4 linked regions of the Schizosaccharomyces pombe genome follow. Changing the gene in region 1 together with any one later gene gives a genetic interaction. Each region holds a gene or a part of one and is shown in the gene's direction. Other genes may lie near its edges.

Region 1 (5,480 bases):
AATAATCATTAACAACATATTAAATTATAAAGAAAACTCAGTAAGTTTACTGAAGCGATTAGGCTGTGTAATGTGGTAAACTGACAAACACGACTACTAACAACTACTAGGTCAGTGTTATGAACAGAAATCGAATTTACGACATTGTACAAAAGGGATCGGTATCGATTCTAATTTTCGGCACTGTTGGAGGCACTGTTCTTCTTGGCCAATCTTATTATTCTCATAGGCAACGGCGTTTAGCAGCATTGCAAGAGTTTCAACAGGTATGAATTCCAACTAAGGGAATTGGACGTGTGTAACTAATTTTTCAAACGTTCTAGAGAGAAAAGATAAAAGAAGAAGGATTTGCAGAGGATGAATTTAATCAACTCGCCCTCAAGTAAGAAAAAATGGTGCTGAAAAGCTGAAGCTATCAGCATCGTGAATTTTCGAGGACTTTGTGAAGTCTTGGAGAGGGAAATAAAGAATAAAGCGAAATCTAAGTAACTATTTTGTTTACTAAGTTGATGCTGTTTCTGCACTTACTGATGATGACCAAAAAACACTATAGTTCTCTATATAGTGAAATTTAATTCTGCCACCTATAACGTCCCCTCTTTCATGAACAGCAGTTAATGGCATTTATGCTTAAAGTACTTTTACCAACTAAAAATTGAATTCAACATAAAACAAGCTTGTGAATACCACCTTCAATCTTTGTTTGACGAGTCAAATGGTAGTAGTTTATTTAAGCGAATGTAGAGTGAGCGATGGGAAACAACAACGTATGGGTTATATCTTCATCCGCTGAATTAAAACATGCATGGAAATCGTAGTGTTTATATCGAACCTAAAAAATTAGTCAGACCAACGAAAGAAAAAATTCCTTATTATTATTACTTCGTTTTGCTTGAAATTTGTGATGTAGAGGAAAAGAAGGACTTTTATTAAACGTATCATATTCTATTTCACACATTCCTACGGATTGCCTTTACACGCCGTCCATACCTACGGTTTGTCGGTCCTTAGATTGTTTGCATCTCCCATTTTTTTTTTTTTGTAAGCAAGGGACTTGTTTCACTTCCAGCCTTTCTTCGACCTTAGACTTGCACTCCTAAGTATATTGGACGAAAGTATTCTAATTTCAGTAACCTCCTTATCTATTTCACTCTCCTAGTCATACTTCCGATTTGTGCACATTATACCTCTACGGGAAGCTGTGCACAATGAATCCACTTTCTCAGTTCAGTTAATATAGAATAGAAAAAATTTATAATTTAAGAAATATACAATGCGCCCATAAAACACGTTTCCAAACTAATCGATCATAAAATTACCATAACTTCCTTTTCTCACTCACCCATTTCCCGATCTTAGCACATCAACCCGACATCATTTGAAATTAAACCATACTTTTGTGAAATCAATTCTTCAAGCTAAACAAACCGCATGAATACAGGCCAAAATCTACATGCTTGCATATCCTATTTTACCATACATCTGTTTTATTTACTTCCCCAGGAAACACACTATACTCTGCTAATCTACCAAAAACACTGGTTCCAAAGGGTGCATGTCCAGCACAAGTTTGCGACTGAAAAGTCTAGCTTTTAATTTTATTAAGCATCTTTCTCCTCTATATCGACTTGCAGTAGAATTTCATGTCAGCGTCTGTGTCTAGAAACGCTGGTTTTACTAATCGCTAACGATGGGATTTGCCCGCTTACGTTAGCGATGGTGTTGGGAGATTTGATATGGCCAAGTAACGGTATGAGCGCATCGTAAACATTGGCTGAAGGGTGGATTTTGGCGACTACGATAGGCTGTAGAAGAAGTTAATTTGTCATTGTAGCTTCGCTAATAATGATGCTCTTTGGCTCACTAAGCCAATGGAATCTCGGCCATTTGCGTTGGTAAGAGTTTTCCTATTGTGCAAATATGACGTTGGTAATTCTACACCAGACAATATATATAGAGGCAATTGCAAGTTGCTTGAATATACAGCTTTTCACGTAAAAGTAATAGCTTTTGAATAGAAGAATACTATAAGTTCTTCTTTGTGTGTGTGTGATTGTAATTCCCTTGTTCGAATATCGAATTATAGAAATTGTGGTTGTGTCTTGAGTGATTTAGTTAAAGACTCGACACTAATTTTTTAAAAAAACACAATTTTTTGACTGTCTTTTTTTTTCCCCTCCTAACTCTTCAAAGTGTCGGCTTTTCGCATCTTTGAACGTTACTGTCTTGGTAGACAAGCTAGTTTAAAATCATTTGCTCGTCGTTCAACTAATTCCAAGATTAACAATAATAAGCTACTCTTTAACAGATTTGCATCTTCTCAGTCTAAGGATTCAAACATCAGCGAAATGAACTCGAAAGACTCAAATACCGTCCCTGTTTACACCACCAACACCGGTTGTCCCATTTTTAACCCTATGGCTGCGGCTCGTGTGGGTAAGGGAGGTCCTGTCTTACTTCAAGATTCCCATTTAATCGACGTCTTTCAACACTTTGATCGCGAGCGTATTCCTGAACGTGTCGTCCATGCAAAGGGTTCCGGTGCTTTTGGTGAATTCGAATGCACCGACGACATTACCAAGTATACCAAACATACCATGTTTTCTAAGGTTGGTAAGAAAACCCCTATGGTTGCTCGTTTCTCCACCGTCGGTGGTGAAAGGGGTACTCCTGATACTGCTCGTGATCCTCGTGGGTTCGCATTAAAGTTCTACACCGATGAAGGTATTTTCGATATGGTTGGAAACAATACCCCTGTCTTCTTCCTTCGTGATCCCGCTAAATTCCCTCTCTTCATCCATACTCAGAAGCGTAACCCTCAAAATGATATGAAGGATGCTACTATGTTTTGGGATTACCTTTCTCAAAACGCAGAGTCCATCCATCAAGTTATGATTCTTTTCTCTGACTTGGGTGGTACCCCTTATAGCTACCGTTTCATGGATGGCTTTTCCAGTCATACCTACAAATTTGTTAATGATAAGGGTGAATTCTACTATTGCAAATGGCATTTCATTACTAATCAAGGAACCAAGGGTTTAACAAATGAAGAAGCCGCTGCATTGGATGGATCCAATCCCGACCATGCTCGTCAAGATCTTTTCGAAGCTATTGAACGTGGTGATTACCCCAGTTGGACGCTTTACGTTCAAGTTATGACCCCTCAGGAGGCTGAAAAATATCGCTACAACATTTTCGATCTTACTAAGGTCTGGCCTCATAAGGACGTACCAATGCAAAGGGTTGGACGCTTTACCTTGAATCAGAATCCTACCAATTTCTTTGCAGATATCGAGCAGGCTGGGTTCTCTCCTTCTCATATGGTTCCTGGTATTGAAGTCTCAGCGGATCCTGTTTTGCAAGTACGTACATTTTCCTATCCTGATACCCACCGCCATCGTTTGGGTGCTAATTTCGAGCAAATTCCCGTCAATTCTCCTAAGTGTCCTGTCTTTAACTATTCTCGTGACGGCCCTATGAATGTCAATGGAAACCAAGGAAATTGGCCAAACTATCCATCCTCAATCCGACCACTTGCTAAAGTTCAATATGAGCCTGACGAAGGTCACGAAAAGTGGGTAGGTCAAGTTACTTACCATATGGACGAAATTACCGACGTTGATTTTGAGCAACCTAGAGCGTTTTGGCAAAATGTTTTGGGCAAGAAACCTGGACAGCAAGATAACTTTGTTAAGAACGTTGCCGGTCACTTGTCTGGTGCTATATCTCCTGTACGTGAACGCCAATACGGTGTATTTACTCGTGTTGATTCAGAGCTTGGTCGCCGTATTCGTGAGGCTACTGAAGCTGAAGTGAAGAAGATGGAAGAAAAAGCCCCCAAGCCAATTAACAAGGGCGAACCCCATATGTTCCAAGGAAGCTCATAATGCGCTTATGCGAAATTAGTTTGTAAAAAATTTGAGTCAGCTAGGTTTATCGGATGACTACTATTTTATTCTTTGAATGCGAGACATGTGTAATGCCGTTAGAAATTTATTTAATTTGATAAATGTTAATTAGGAAATATATATTTTAACCTCAATAAGCACATAACATTGATAAGAAAGCAAACAATCTTGACATATTAGGTTAACATATAAATAAGGTCTAAGGCTTATTGTGTTTTCCAAGTCTTCTGCCGTAAATTTCTTAATATCTGTACCAGATGAGGAAAGGAAGATTAAAATTTTGTAATCAATTAGGAAAGCTTAAAAGCAAATTCATGAGCCACACACGATATTCGATTACTTATGTAGCTAGCAACAGTAAATTAGCACTTTTAAAGCCAGTTGTCATGTGCATTAGATTTATGTTTTTTGCAGTATTTGTATCTTTGTAAAACAAGCCGAAATATTATATTGAATAAATTTGTCACTCATGGTGTTATTATTCCTTTAGTCTCTAGTATTCAAAGCCAGTTGAGGTTTGGCCGGTTTATCAATGAAATTTTCGAATAACTATTAACATGAACTACTCGTAATAATCATACTCGAAACAACCCTGTCATTATTTAAAAAACATTGGGAGAACTCGAGTGTCTCCATCGACATCATTAGCGCTATATGCATTCATAAATAGTTTTAAATTCAGTCTTGGCTTATAGATATAACGTCTTTGCTGATGATGATAGAAATCTTCTTGAGGCGTATTTGTAACATCATTGTGAAGAATTAGAGGAATTATCATAGAAAGCCGACATAGTGAATTTGGTGGCAGTTTATACCATTTTATAACTTCAAGAATATCAGAAGAGGTAGCTTTTTGTCCTTAAAGAACAGCCGTTGCTAAAATGTCAATTTCTGAACAGTAGGTAAAACTGTAATTAATTCACTACAGCTGAAGCTTTGACGTGGGCAATCAGTCATCTTTACAATTAATTTTATTAAAAATTTTAACGACATTTCTCCAAGAGTTTGTAATTGTGCTACCTCAATTGCAGGCACTGAGAGTAAAAAAATGGGACGACTAGTTCCGTTGAGGGCATTTGACATCTTTGATTTTGCCGAAATTAATTAAAGAGTTTTTGACACTAACTTCTTTGTAGCAAGATTCTCCGTAAAATAATTGACAACCCAATTTGCAGACGTGAGCGTCTTGTTTATCATGATCGAGGGATCCTACATAGCCACAGCAAGTATATTTACAGTACTGGAAAAATATCAACTTGAAACTTAATTATGGACTTCCTGAGCCATGAAAACACACCACTCTTGAGGTTTTATCAGGATTCACCATTAGTTAATTAGTGATGGCTTGACGCTCCTTCGTCTTCCAGCAATCATCTATGGCAATGTTCTCATGTGCATAGTCAAGCATTTCCGATGACTTTATTACTTCATAAAAGGTAAAAAAATATTTTAGCTGATGTTACTTCCAATTTATTTTAAGTATCCCAATTTTAAGGGCAGGCACTTCACTCAACATAGCCAAACCAATAGCAAACTTACAAATACAAGATTCTAGTAGGGAGAGTATAATTA
Region 2 (4,213 bases), on another chromosome or scaffold:
GGAAAAACCCGACACCTGCAAGCATCATAAGTTTAAATTCGCGCTTTGTCAACCCCAAGTAATAGCGACGCTCTTGCGCACCCTCTTCGACTTGGTCGAGAGGTACTGCATCGTCGTTATACTCATCAGACTTAGATCCAATGTTTAAAATTTTGCTCCCAAATGCCATCTTGTGATTTCCTTGCGTTCAAAATATGAGAGAAAAGGAAAGCAATGAATGATAAAGTAAGTCTTAATCGCTGCTTTATGCAAATTAATGAAGTCCGAATGCGGTTGCAATTAGAATTAAGAAAACTGAGTACCGGTGGTTTACACACACAGATAATTCAGTATGCAATGGAGCAATATATATAGTAAACTACCAGTTTGTCAGATTGGTGGCTTTGTTATAGAAAAAAAATTAATAATTAAGATCAAAAGCTTTGGTGTTGACGTTCCCTGGCAACCGGCACATTCACCACCTGCTTAATCTTATTTCAAAACAAAATAGCAAAACAGGAAGAAATCGGAAATGCAAAACACTATGTTTATAAGTAAACCGTCCAATTTGCTTTGTAACTGATATGAATCCAATAAGGAAATATAAAAAAATAGTAAAAAAATATTAACAATTAAAATTTTCTATTTCAGGATTAAGGTAACGCGGTGTTAGAAAACTGAGGGAAAGTAATGGGTCAATTTGGTTTAAGATTTGCACTTTAAAGTAAAAGAATTAGCACTAGCGGACAACTGCAAAAACAGACAATTATACTAAAGGGGTATCAGTTCATAAAAAAGTTGCAAAAGTGGTAATACCCTCGTTAGACCCACTCGGAAATCTTAAGTTAATAACGTTGACATTACTAATTGAGACAAAATTGTAGTTAAGAGACAAACTCATACTGCAGAGAACTCAATACGGTATGCATTCAAAATGAAATTTGCGAAAATAAAAATCAGTATGTCATTATACAATACAGAATTGGCCCAAGTAAAACACGGTTTAATCGTCGAGCTGTTTGGTTTTTTCAATTCCATGGAAAGCACGCGATGTCGTTGTTTTAAAACCAGTAATCGGCCGGTTTCAAAAGTATACATTCCAGAATACCACGGATTGATGCTGTGTAGCTCAATGCATGCCCACACACAGAACACCCGGATAAGTTGGTTCCGATATCCTCCAACCCGATAGGATGTTGGGTGATAAGATTTCTTTGACAAAATAGACATCAACAAAGCATGCATGCTTCCACTTCCATTAAACTCGGCGAACGGAAATGCCGCCATCCTACAAAATTCCCCTCACCTCTCCTATTGTCGGTCTTTGAAATTAACAACTACCAGGTACCGAGCAGAATGTTCTGCACGGAATTGACCTGACAACCGGCATCCGCACAAAACAGCCACTTCAGCAATTTCGGTTCCAAGTATGTTCCATTCATGCACGTAAACCGTAGTTTATTTTAGGAACCTCAGTTTACCGAACGCTAAAATTTATTAGGCAGCATATACTGCCGAAGCAAAAAGATGAACGGATACGAGGATTTTACCGCCCGCCACCCTTCAACAAGTGTAATGGATATAAGATGATTTGATAGTATTCGAAAATTTTTGAATTTTCGTGTCGAGTAGCAAATTCCATTGTTTTACATTCTTGCTATCTAATTAAAAGCAACGATGAGTTAATCTTTCGTGCATTATTCTAGTTCGACAAAACGCAGAATAATTTTCAAGAAAAGACCGTGGAAACTAATTAATTATTATAAGGACAGATGTCGATATTAATAAATTTCAATTTCTAACGATTTTCATAGTTTAATTTGTTATGAATTAATTCTATCTCATCCTCTATGACTTATTTCGTTCTATTTCATACTACCAATGCGTTTAAATTAAAATTAAAAATTTGAATAGTTAGGTACTCAGGCTTCTTATATAGCTATTGATGCAGTGTGTGACGTCATTTTTTTAAATTGAAAAAGGGGGTTTTTGACAGGGTAAGATTGTGTACCGTTCGGTATGCAAACTGAACTGGAAGATTGGAAAAATTAAACCCTTTTCTGAAAATAATAGGAATTAAGTTAGGATAGTCGAAACAATTTCTTCCATATAACTATCGTGATCAGTCAAGGGCAGTTTACTAATTTATTTCCAGCGTCGTATATTGCCGAATTCACACGCATTTTACTCACATCGTTCGAAGATAAAAAAAATATAAATAATAAAAATTGAAATTCGTGTAAGCGAAAAGGAATGTGTGAGAAGGATTTTGGACTGTTCTATTCTCATGGGAATGTGAAGTAACTACTCTCTTGCTACCATAGTTGCTTGTTGTGACTTGACATCGTATAAGTGACTGTAAATTAGATGCCGGCTCCATGTCGCACAATAAACCTTTTGAGAGAAAATAAATTATGACATTCCTAAGACTCGGCAATTTTGATTTGTTATTTTTTTTTATTCTCTCAACATTTCCCTAGATTCACAGTCGAGAATGATACGTTGATACACATCCTTTCACGGTAATCTGCAATCCCTGTTTATGGTTTTACATCGTCCTTCGTAATTCTTGTCTTTCTTATATATATATGGAGGAGTGCGTTTGAGATACGCCAGGACTCTAGAGAATTCTTCTCTTTCATTTATCTACGATAAAGTCTTCGTTTCTCCTCTCATTCTTTCACTAGAATAGAGAAAAAGAAGGACAATTGCAAAAGCTCTTTTTATAATTCAATCTTCCTTCTCAATTTTTTTTTCTATTTTCAAGCAAACCAACGGATTTTGACGTTCGTCTTTTCGTTATCTTTCAAAGTTAGCTATTTTAAAGAAAAAATGGATTTAAACTTATGTTTGCTATGTGGTAACTCCATCGATGCCGAAGGATTGTATTGCTCAAATGAATGTCGAATTCAGGATAAAGCTACGACAGAGCTGTTTTCTGATCCCTTGAAGTCGCCTTCTCTCAACGAGACAATAGACTACCTTGCTTTGAATTACTTTGATCTTTTCAGCAGACGATCTTCAATGTGCTCTTCGTCGAATTCCTCAATTTATTCTGGGATATATTATACCGAATTGAAGAATTATAGTGTTGAGAATTAGAAAATTTTTTACCTTTAATGTTTTTTCTACTCTTTGAAGCATTTCTCTTCTATTTGATCGAGCTACATAAATTATCGGTTTTGAGGCTATTGGAAGTTAGTATCAAATAAAATTTGGTATAGTTTGGATTTCCCTAATCATTTTTTCATTTTCGGCTTCATTTGTTTTTTACATTCTCTTTCTTAGTTACTTACCTACAGTTCTTTCGCGTTTCCTCGGATTTTTTTTCTTTTCTTTTATCACCCTCACTAATTGCATTATTTATCTTTAATTTTCTTTTGAAATTAAAAAAAAAAGAGGGTCTACTTTAATTTTTTTTTCTTCAATCCTGAGCTCATTTAGCATCACTTTAGAATGTTTCATAATGATATTAAGGGATATCCATTTAAATATATTACGGAGCTTGTCACTCTACCCTTGAGTCTATCTTAAAAAAATACATTTACAGAATCATTTGTTTACGATAACATTATTGATATTCATTTATACATTTAAAGCTTTTTTTTTTATTAAAAAGCATTTTCTTTATATTAATAGGACTAACGTCAATTTCCTTTCATTTGCATACATTCGGCAATAATGACTAGCAATTAACACCAATGCTAGAACGATCTTTTTTGTTTTATTATAGTGTGCCTAATTTTCTTTATTTTTCGTTATTTGTGGCTGCATTTTTTATTTATTTATTTATTTATTTATTTACATCTTGTCATTTAGTTAAAAATTTAATGAACTATTTTTGTTTAACTAATATTAATTTGTCATTTCATCTTTTCTTTATACATCTTATTTTACTGAATCAGAGTTATTTGAATTAAATAATAATTAATTTCGCTTCTCGTTTTCTATGCACCATACAACTAGTAAAGATTTATTAAAGATTTTTTATATACTAAACTTTTAAAAATGTGTACAAAAAGTGGGACGTGTAGATGTCACTGATTTGGATTTTTTCTGTAAATTAGCTTCGGCAAATTTATTAGAATAAGAACAGTAAAAAAAAAATAAAGATTGGAATGTGCTTAAGATTTTTCTCAAGAAGTGTAAATGCTACGAATTCAATAATTATAATAAATTTGTAAATAATATAAAGAATCACAAATGCAGAATTACCATATCATTGATGTCTACA
Region 3 (5,703 bases), on another chromosome or scaffold:
AGGATAATCTGTATGACAGGACCAGCAATCTAGCATTTCCATCCAATTTGCAGATGGTAGATCTTTCCAAGAAGAGATGCTTGTTAAGAAAGATTGACATTGTTTACATTTAATGGTACTTTTGACAGCATCATCTTTATTTAAATCAATAGCCTTCCAAGGAACCTGTATTTCATCGCTATATGTAACTGGAGGACACGAAATTACCAATTGAATAGTATCCGAGCGTATAATAGGATTAATTGGAGTCGACCTAGAAAGCGTTAAGGGTAAAGGGAATTTTAAGTCAGCGACGCATTTTGGGATGTCTTTTGTTTCTGGATCCAAAAAGACATTTACCCTACCTACATGAACGAGATATTCAGCAAGCATGCAAAGTCTGTATAGATGATTCGCTGCTTATTGATCGAAGAAGAAGCAAAGAGCAAAGGTGAAGAGAAATTGAGACGAATGATATAACGAGAACTAGTGCCAAAAAAGTTAATTATAGCGAAGCACTAACGTATCATTATGTTACGATACATGACTATATACAAAAATTGAGAGGTTTGAAAGTTACTCTCGCTATTCCATCAGAAAGCGTTGCAAAGCAGTGTAATATCATCCAGCGTAGTTTAAACTAGAACCGTATTGTTTACTGAATGCCAGCAATACACTACTCTATGATACACTGTGTTGCGTATTACTATATGGCACATGTTCTAATTATATATCATACTATGTATGATACGACATTGAGATTGATCTTAATGATAATTTATTAAGATCTATATTATCTGAATACTATAAATAGAGCTACTGCTGAACCTCGTTCCTCAGTTCAGTTATGAGCTATATCGGTGACCGATACTAAGAGACTTCTTATAACAATAAATATACGTTATTAGTTAACATACCGCATACCGCTACATTGTAGGTCGCAAGTAAACTCACCACAGTTCTGTGTATCGTTAAATAGATACCAAACTGCGTAGCTGATACTGAATGAGAAGTGTAGTAAATAATAAAAGAGGTTTGTGTCATTTATGAAGGTGTTTTTGAGGAAATAATTATTATAAATAATTGTTGTGTTGCATATAAACAGGATTTAAAGGTAAATAAGGGAAGAAAAAAGCTTAGCCAACTTGAGTTGACCCCATAAAAGAAACATATATTATTTATTTATTCGTTAATGTTTTTTAAACACAAAATGTAAACGATTCATTGATATTGAAGAATGTAATAGTAAGAAAAAAATTAATGAAATATTTAGAAAATACAAATCAATTGCAATCTCGTTATTTTTTTCTTGTGTAATAAAAAAAAAAAATTGTGCAGTGAAAATTAAACAAGTTTATTATGACAGTAGAATAAAACACTTATTAACCATCTATCCTACACAAAATGCATTAATTTCTTTCTTTTTAATTTTAGTCAATTATTTACTTTTGAATTCACTTCACATTCTCATTTACTTTTAGCCTTTTGTTTACTCCTTTACCTCCACATGGTTAGATTTCAGGTCAGTCCCCCACTTGGAGCTTTTTCAATACCATGTGGGAAAATCGATTATGGACTTTTAATCCCACCTGTGTATGCCCCCACATGGAACTTTCTATAACTTTCCATGGAAACCGGGGATGGAGCAATATGTTCAAAGAATAATGCTAGAAAGATTGTATGCTGAATCCCACAAGGTACGTGACCCCCACAAAATAATAAGCATACTTCCTATGGTAATAAAATAATAATATAGAGATTTTGCTACTTTCAAGACTTTGTCCCTTTCATGTAAATACAAATTATTTTTTTCACAAGTGCGTCGTAGTGTTAGGAAATAGAATTGAAGAAACATTAGAAACGTCAACTAAGACTGATGTTTATGAATCTCGTTTCTTTTCAACGTACTGTAGAATGTAGAAGAATGTAAACAAATAGATAAACTACCTTCTACTAAATATTTCATTATCTTCATTATCTTATGTAAAAAACGTGGTGCTAGCTTTCCGTTTGATCCAATATTATACTATACAATTGTTTTTATCTTCAACAGGATTCGATTACTTACGGGGAAAAATTAAGGTTAAATGGAAATGTGAATAAAATCATAATATTACTAAAATCCCTTTGCAACTATTTACAAACATCTTTCTGTTGACTTCTCAGTATTTAAATTGTTTTTCTTTTCATTCATCCATAAAAAACATATACATTCTTTAGTATTCTCTTTTTTTCTTCTCTTCCGTGCATACTAGAGTGTTTGCAACCTTCTTTACGAAAGATTCGCTATCAGTAGTTTTCTACTGTTTTCTTTTTTCCATAAATTTCGCTGGGTGGCTGCAAACAGAGAAATTTTCGTTTCCTTAATAACCTGTAGGGTCCGCCTCCTTCTTTGTGAATTGTAAAGAGGCAAACAATAGAAATTGATCGCCTAAACAAATTAAAACAAAAAAATTTAACTGCCGAAGTGCATTTTTATTCAATTTTTTTTTACGTTTTTCTCTGTTTCCCGGCTTTCGCGATATCGTTTGGCATTTGCATTTTTATTTATTTAGTCTTATTTACTGTACAAATTCAATCCTTTATTTTCCTATTGTTTCAAAGGGGAAAGAAATAAAAGGAAAGGAAATTTCTCATCTCTTGATTTTAACTCGATTTTCTATACTCGCAGTTTGAATCTCTGTGTGATTATTTCTTTTCTTTTGATCATTTTATATATTTTGAGCGAAATTTTTACGATTTTCTTACTCAGCACAACAATTACGATTTAAGGGAAATTTTGTTCTCGTATTTTCCTTTGACAACAACACACCAGCTACAAGAACATAAGAACAACACACTTTTCTTTCAACCATTTCCTACCACTTTTCACATTTTGATAATTTGTGAAAGGAAATTTAATAGAAAAGTATTGAAAAGAAACGATTATTTTGTGTTTCTTTCTAGAAAATTGGTGGATTGCTATTTTAGCGATAAAATTTTTTTTAAACTTATCTGAGAAAGTTTTTAAGGGAAATTTTTTTACTTTTTCCTCTTTTCTCACGAATTTGACTTATTGTTGAATCTTTGCTTTATTATAGACTCCATTAAAGTCTCCTCTAATATTTTATCTTCTTAATATTCCAATTTCTTTTTTATTTACCCCCTTTCTTCCACTGTCGTTTTTGTTCTCCTTACATATATTACAAGCATAATGGTGAAAGAAACTAAACTATACGAAGTCTTGAACGTTGATGTCACTGCTTCTCAAGCTGAATTGAAGAAAGCTTACCGCAAGCTTGCTTTAAAATATCATCCCGACAAAAACCCTAATGCCGGCGATAAGTTTAAGGAAATTAGCCGTGCTTATGAAATTCTTGCTGATGAAGAGAAACGTGCTACTTATGATCGTTTTGGTGAAGAAGGTTTACAAGGTGGTGGTGCCGATGGTGGTATGTCTGCTGATGACTTGTTTGCTTCCTTTTTTGGTGGTGGAATGTTTGGTGGTGGTATGCCCCGTGGTCCTCGCAAGGGCAAGGATCTTGTTCATACCATCAAGGTTACTTTGGAGGACCTCTATCGTGGTAAGACTACAAAGCTTGCTTTGCAAAAGAAGGTCATTTGCCCCAAGTGTAGCGGTCGTGGTGGCAAGGAAGGCTCTGTCAAATCTTGTGCCTCTTGTAATGGTAGCGGTGTCAAATTCATTACTCGTGCCATGGGTCCAATGATACAACGTATGCAAATGACCTGTCCTGATTGTAATGGTGCAGGTGAAACCATCCGCGATGAAGACCGTTGCAAAGAATGTGATGGTGCCAAGGTCATTTCTCAACGTAAAATCCTTACCGTACATGTTGAGAAGGGTATGCACAATGGTCAGAAGATTGTATTTAAGGAAGAAGGCGAGCAAGCTCCTGGAATCATTCCCGGTGATGTAATCTTTGTCATTGATCAAAAGGAACATCCTCGTTTCAAGCGCAGTGGTGATCATTTGTTTTATGAGGCTCATGTCGATTTACTCACTGCTTTGGCTGGTGGTCAAATTGTCGTCGAGCACCTGGACGACCGTTGGCTTACTATCCCCATCATCCCCGGAGAGTGCATTCGTCCCAATGAACTCAAAGTTCTTCCTGGTCAAGGTATGCTTTCTCAACGCCATCATCAACCTGGAAACCTTTACATTCGCTTCCATGTCGACTTTCCTGAACCCAACTTCGCTACCCCAGAACAGCTTGCATTGCTTGAAAAGGCTTTACCTCCCCGTAAGATTGAGAGCGCTCCCAAAAATGCTCACACTGAGGAATGTGTTTTGGCAACTGTCGATCCTACTGAGAAGGTTCGCATTGACAATAACGTGGACCCCACTACTGCCACTTCGATGGATGAAGATGAAGATGAAGAAGGTGGACACCCCGGTGTTCAATGTGCTCAACAGTAAACCTGTCTTATTCTGAATTTCTTTTCATTCATTTTTTCAAAATTGACAGCATTTGGATTCGTTATCCTTTTAAGAAGAGCCTAGACAATTATTTGTTTTCAGATGTTCCTAATCTTTTCCTTAGGTTTCGAGTTGCTATTGCATGTATACCTTATTCTCTTGTTCCTTTTTTTCATCCTGTAAACTCATTCCCCTCATTTGGTGTTAGTTTTCTTTTATCTCATAAAGATGTTTGATATCTAGCTTCGGCATATCTAACATACTTGCCTTTGATAGTTATTCTCTCGGTTCTTATCTTGGTCTTTATACTTCGTTAATACGCTGCTTCAATAAATATAATGACTGCAAAAAGTCGATTTATAAATATGAATACATAAATTAGATCTTGCTTGCTTTGTTTGTAAAATTTTAGTATTTGTGAGACAATTACAATTACGGCTTTTGGAAAAAGTAGTAAATAATTTTTGATGCGCTTCTGCACTTTGAATTGTCTGCGAACTAAAATTATGTTTATTCACTCTACTTATCGTTGCAATACAATTCAAGTGGGGGATGCTACTAAATTGTAACTGTAAATACAAAATCGTAAAACTTGAAGAATATACCTTGAAAAAATTTTACTCTCGTTTTCTTACTAAACTATCATCCCTGGGTGATATGCGTTAGAATCCGATCTTTGTCAATAAAAAAGTTCAGACGGTCTTCCCGGTAATCTCTTGTCAACAATGTGTCAGGAGATACCACCCTATAAATAGGAGGCCAAAGTTTAATCTCGTCAACTTTATGTCCGATGAATGAAGAGTAGTCATCAACTGCGGCAGGTTTAGTTGCTCGTGCTTTTTTGTTTGCCAAGATGTAAACGGGCTGTGCTGGATTTCTTATGGAGATTTCTCGCGGTATGTGATTACTTAACCATTTTGGAAGGATGGGAATTTTCGTGTTGGAATTAACGGATTCTATAACATCAAAAGTATCATTATATGATTCGGGATCTTCGGTGATTAAATAGTCGAATTGGGAAATAAATAAAGAATTTGAAAGCATTTTAGGATCCTCAGTTTTGTCATAGTACCACGATGGAAGCTGTGAAAATCGAGTTATACCTGTCATACACGGATATACATCCATGTGTACAGAAACTAAGTACGTTAGAATAATCTAATTGGTGAAAAAGTTGAACTTACCTTGGGGATGATTTTCAATTTCATATAAACGAGTTAATGCTAGACCACCAGGGTAAGCGTATTGAAAAACATATAACAAAAAACTGCTTCCAATAAACCCGAAGATTATCCCCGAAAAAAACA
Region 4 (4,851 bases), on another chromosome or scaffold:
ATACATTCATCGATAGTAGCACGAGCGCTTTCTTTAGAAAGCGTTTTCCAGCGATCATCGTCAGTGGCTTTACGCAACATAGGAAGAGCCAAATGCATGGCAAACCCAGTTGCGATTGCCGGGGCAGAATAAGTAGTTCCTCGAAGATCTGCAAAAGCAACATATGGTTCCTTATTTTCCCCATCCACCCCGGCTACAATGAGTTGATTCCAATATGGGTCAAGTTTGTTTCTGCGAGCGTACAACACCTTCGACAAGTATTCATGAATATACGAAGGTTGTAAGGCATAGCCGTCACCATAATTTCCTTCTTTTATTTCTAATTTTTCTAATAGGCGCTGGATTTGTTGATAATCCGAAATATCCCCACCGGCGCCAACAATCGTATTATCACCTACTTTTGTCAACCGTTCAACATCATAAAAGCGCGCTAATGATCCATAGGATGCCAGGTTATCAGCAGCAATCATTACACCGTCTGCAAACTTCAAAGCAAGGACTGATGATCCAGTTACTATCGGTTGAACAGTGCGTTGAATTGGTGCATCGGTTGATTCTTCAACTTCCGAGCCACTAGGAAAAAAAATGTCTTTTTGAGGCTTTCCCCAAACCTCTGTTAATTCTAAAAAACTCATTTTTTGCAAATTAAAACTGTGTGGTTCTTACTAAGTTTTCGAGGTTGATGTCGCTTTATAACACATAACCACCATGCACCTATTACGAAGACAGTGTTTGAAAAGTTTGTAGTAATTTTGAGAAGGTTGCTTATTAATAGCTTTCAAAAGTTTTATATTTGCTATTCTAGATTTATTCTAGATACATTAACTTTTAATGATAAACTGAAGCAACCTATGTTTGATAAGAAAAAGTACAGACAAAGTCACTTTATGGGATCAAACTATGATGTAGAGTTAAACTAATAAATAAAATATAGAAAACTTTATCTTCCTAAAAATTGTGCAATATTCAATGGAATGGCTCAAGTCTAAACTCCGTTGGTCAAAGTTTAGTTAAAATGAAACATAAGCTTAGCAATTATTGATAAGTCACTGGAATATTAATTAAAGAGTCGTATACTTCTTGAATTATGTTTCGTCTTGTTTCTAAATCCGAAATCTTCGTAGGCGATTTTAGAGCTTTAGGAGACCACATGTAAATGTTCCCATTCATATCACCAGTAAAACACTGTTCAAAGTCAGGACGATAGGCAGCACAATTAATACGTTTTAAACTGTGGGTTGAAAGTCGGCGCACAAACGAGCCTTCTAACAAGTTCAATAAGGCAAGAGACCCATCATCGTTGGGGAATAACACAAAAACATCTGAATCCATAGAGGGTTGGATCATGCAAGGATGTACCGCGAAGGAAGTAGTCTGGTTATGAATAATAGGTCCAAATTCTCTCAATGTGTTTCTTCCACTTTCCATATTCCATACTCTTATTCGATCGTCGGTACCACAACTTGCCAAATATCGAGCATCTGAAGTCCAAGCTAATCCATTAACGGTGCCGTAATGAGATATATTTGTCTGGTTACTGGGTAAATACTTATTATGTAGATCCATACATGCGAAGCTGGATGATACTTTACGAATGTCCCAAAGTCTGCAAGTGCCATCTGCAGAGCCGGACGCTAACACGAATTCATTCTTAGGACACCAATCCACCGCAAGGACATTACCCGTGTGTCCAGACAAACTATGAGTATAACTACCACTTTGCATATCACAAAGCCGAATAGACGAAGACCGGTAGGCGGCTATCGTTAGATGAACAATCTCAAGAATGAAGAATATAACGTACTGGCAATTAAACAATGTGATGCAATGGGCGACCATGCATGTGAATAAATCATGTCCTCCATAGTAAAAGTGTAAGCTTCCTACCAATATTAGAACATTGGTTAATTTGCGATTTCTACTTTTATTACCTGTAAAGTAGAAACATCCCAAACCTTGAGCGTATGATCGAACGACGAGCTAGTAAAAATACCATTATCAAACGGAAACCAATGCAAATCTGTTATTCCAAACTTATGACTCGTTCGACTAAAACACCGCAAGTTAGCTATTGATCACTAGTGTATATATTGAAATTGTCATAAACTAGGTAGAAAATGAATGCTTACGCAGGAACTGCATTTAAGGTATCCAAAATTAAATCTTCATCTTCCTTTTGGTCAATATTTTGTAGGTCCCAAACATTGATAGACGAGTTGGCTCCTCCAGAGACCATGCTGTCAATAGAAATTGTTAACCAAAAATTGAAAGCTTTGATAAATCAACGATATAGGTCATACAGCTGATGAATTGTATTATCAATGCTTAGTGCATTTACGGATCCTAAAATGCCCGCACCGTGTCTACGTTTAATTTTCACATCCGGATTCAGCGCTAACCGTTGAAGACGATGCTGCAGTAGTTGCCTTCGAAAAGAGCTATTTGGCTCTACAAATGTGAGACTTGAAATCCTTATATCACATAATCAATTGCATTACCTTGGCCCCATTCTCGTGCCAATAAAAAAGAATTCATTCGATTTCACCTAAGAAATAGACTCAGATGCTACAGTAAGCAACTGACAGCTTAAAACAACCCGGTTTTTAAACCATGTATAACAAATTAAGTCTAAATAAAATTACAGCTAGTTTAATATGAGCGGTAAATAATACTGTCAATTAATCAACTTCTATGTTTAAATAGCAAACTCAAAGGTAGTTTCCAGGAAACAATAATAAAAAAATATGTTTTTCGACGTTGGCTAGACGCACTACTAATAACGGTCGTGGTGTACGAGATGGTATTGGCAGACGGTTTATAGAACTCAACCTCAACCATATGTCAGTTATTGAAATTAGATCGTACCAGCACTGGATCTCAACGATCCCTAAGTCCGGATATCTTGCAGTTGATTGCTATGCCGATTGGTGTGGTCCTTGCAAAGCAATTTCTCCCTTATTTTCACAATTAGCATCGAAATATGCTAGCCCCAAATTCGTTTTTGCTAAAGTAAATGTAGACGAGCAACGTCAAATTGCCTCCGGGCTTGGCGTCAAAGCAATGTATGTGTTTACCTAATCCGTCACTGTACCATTGGTTTTGCTAACATTTTAGGCCTACATTTGTTTTCTTTGAAAATGGCAAACAAATTGATATGCTAACTGGAGCAAACCCACAAGCTTTGAAGGAAAAAGTTGCTTTGATTTCCTCAAAAGCCACAGGAACTGGCGCTCTTGCTTCTTCGTCATCGGCACCTGTCAAGGGTTTTGCTAGCTTGCAAGGCTGCATTGAAAATCCCCAATTGGAATGTCTAAATCAACAAGATGATCACGATTTGAAAAGTGCATTTAACAGTAATCCTTCCTCATTTTTAGAGTCGGATGTTGACGAGCAATTAATGATATACATACCTTTTCTTGAAGTGGTAAAGGTTCATTCTATTGCAATTACTCCTGTTAAGGGAGAAACTTCGAGTGCTCCAAAAACCATCAAATTGTACATCAATCAGCCCAACAATCTTTCTTTTGAAGATGCTGAGTCATTTACTCCAACTCAAGTCATTGAGGATATAGTTTACGAACAAGACGATCAACCTACAATTATTCCCCTTCGTTTTGTTAAATTTCAACGTGTCAATTCTCTCGTTATTTTTATTTATTCGAATGTCGGAGAAGAAGAAACTACTAAGATTTCTCGCTTAGAATTATTTGGTGAGCCTGTTGGTGATTCAAGTAAAGGAAAACTACAAAAGGTCGAAGCTTAGGTGCTTAACAATTTGTTAACTAAAATCATGACGGTTTACGAATTTACCTTTATGAAAATCTAGTTTCGTATACATTACTCGACCAATCTGGTGTCTTGATACCAAAGAATACTACAAACCTTTCATTTGAGCATTGTAATTGCTGACTACTCACGAAATGGGAATATAAATGGATAATCTAATTTATATAGAATAAAGATTTTCTAAGCGGTAACGTTTGATAAATAAAATGAATGTTTTTTAATTTTGTCTCACGTAGAGGAAATTTTGTGAGAAATCCAAAAATTCCACATATTAACACTATGATGACCTTTCCCAAAGCTGAATAAAACTTTCGCCTAAACGAATCATATCGCTACTGATTTCTTCAACATATAAGTCTTGAATTTGATACCATTTATTGGTAGAGGGGTTTCGAATTTGAATTCGGAAGTTATGAAATTCTTCTTCAGCATGTGTCACGGACTCATGTATAATATTAGCAACGAGGTTGTATTTCGTAGAGATTTTCGGATTTGACTGGATAAATGAGTCATCAATAAATGGGCTCATATCAAAATCATCCAAAGGAAATGTCACTATAGTTTGGTTTCTTTCCGTAAAGTAATTGTTTTTCATAAATCTTTTGATGTGAAATATAAAGTATGGAGGAGCCGTCATTAAATGAAAACGCCGTCGCATACCTGCAAGTTCTTGGGTATGTACCCCATTATATTTGTTAAGTATCTCTTTTAATTCTACTTGTGGGATGATATTACCTTCAAACTCATCTTGGAATATGGGTTTCGGAGGTAAATCAAGAGTAAGGTAAAGAAAAGGGACGACGTTAGTTTGTATAACCCTATCACCAGTAAACACAACTTGCTCTCCCTTTTCAGCATGTTGGCGAATTTTCTGTGATTCAATACGTACAAATCCTTGAAAGCTGTAATGTACAATAGAAGTAGGTTTTGCTATGGTCGACTTTTTTCCACCAAGGCAATTGTGTAAAGTATTTAAAAACCAGGAAAGGAATTCTACTGGATCTTTTTGTTCATTAATAGAATATTTTTTGTGAGAAAGAACTGTAACCTCCTGAATGAGTTCTT

What was found.
Region 2: of ctt1 (region 1) and ecl3, extra expression of one rescues a mutant of the other (dosage rescue), as found in Schizosaccharomyces pombe (2 studies listed by BioGRID, with this or other methods).
Region 3: of ctt1 (region 1) and mas5, changing one suppresses a phenotype caused by changing the other (phenotypic suppression), as found in Schizosaccharomyces pombe (one study listed by BioGRID).
Region 4: of ctt1 (region 1) and txl1, changing one suppresses a phenotype caused by changing the other (phenotypic suppression), as found in Schizosaccharomyces pombe (one study listed by BioGRID).

The regions. Positions count from the first base shown.
Region 1 is NC_003421.2:55,334-60,813, reverse strand, and holds ctt1 (catalase), read left to right. Parts: upstream 1-1,980; 5' UTR 1,981-2,348; coding exon 2,349-3,887; 3' UTR 3,888-4,160; downstream 4,161-5,480. Other genes in the region: cytochrome c oxidase assembly protein Cox14, read left to right, coding at 120-266, 324-386; SPOM_SPCC757.06 (uncharacterized protein), read right to left, coding at 4,785-4,991, 5,035-5,148, 5,206-5,235. UniProt on the Schizosaccharomyces pombe protein: Catalyzes the degradation of hydrogen peroxide (H(2)O(2)) generated by peroxisomal oxidases to water and oxygen, thereby protecting cells from the toxic effects of hydrogen peroxide.
Region 2 is NC_003423.3:4,440,208-4,444,420, reverse strand, and holds ecl3 (protein Ecl3), read left to right. Parts: upstream 1-2,593; 5' UTR 2,594-2,811; coding exon 2,812-3,081; downstream 3,082-4,213. Other genes in the region: pho84 (inorganic phosphate transporter), read right to left, coding at 1-169.
Region 3 is NC_003423.3:1,078,547-1,084,249, forward strand, and holds mas5 (DNAJ domain-containing protein Mas5), read left to right. Parts: upstream 1-2,828; 5' UTR 2,829-3,172; coding exon 3,173-4,396; 3' UTR 4,397-4,801; downstream 4,802-5,703. Other genes in the region: ipa1 (mRNA processing protein), read right to left, coding at 1-372; alg12 (dolichyl-P-Man:Man(7)GlcNAc(2)-PP-dolichyl-alpha-1,6-mannosyltransferase), read right to left, coding at 5,039-5,535, 5,581-5,703. UniProt on the Schizosaccharomyces pombe protein: Probably involved in mitochondrial protein import. Plays a role in microtubule cytoskeleton organization.
Region 4 is NC_003423.3:765,466-770,316, reverse strand, and holds txl1 (thioredoxin-1-like protein Txl1), read left to right. Parts: upstream 1-2,826; 5' UTR 2,827-2,838; coding exon 2,839-3,062; intron 3,063-3,114; coding exon 3,115-3,763; 3' UTR 3,764-3,965; downstream 3,966-4,851. Other genes in the region: pre4 (proteasome core particle subunit beta 7), read right to left, coding at 1-635; DNA repair ERCC8 family protein ckn1, read right to left, coding at 1,036-1,760, 1,805-1,883, 1,932-2,049, 2,130-2,237, 2,301-2,448, 2,499-2,535; ubiquitin C-terminal hydrolase Ubp10, read right to left, coding at 4,064-4,851. UniProt on the Schizosaccharomyces pombe protein: Has a role in cellular detoxification of alkyl hydroperoxide.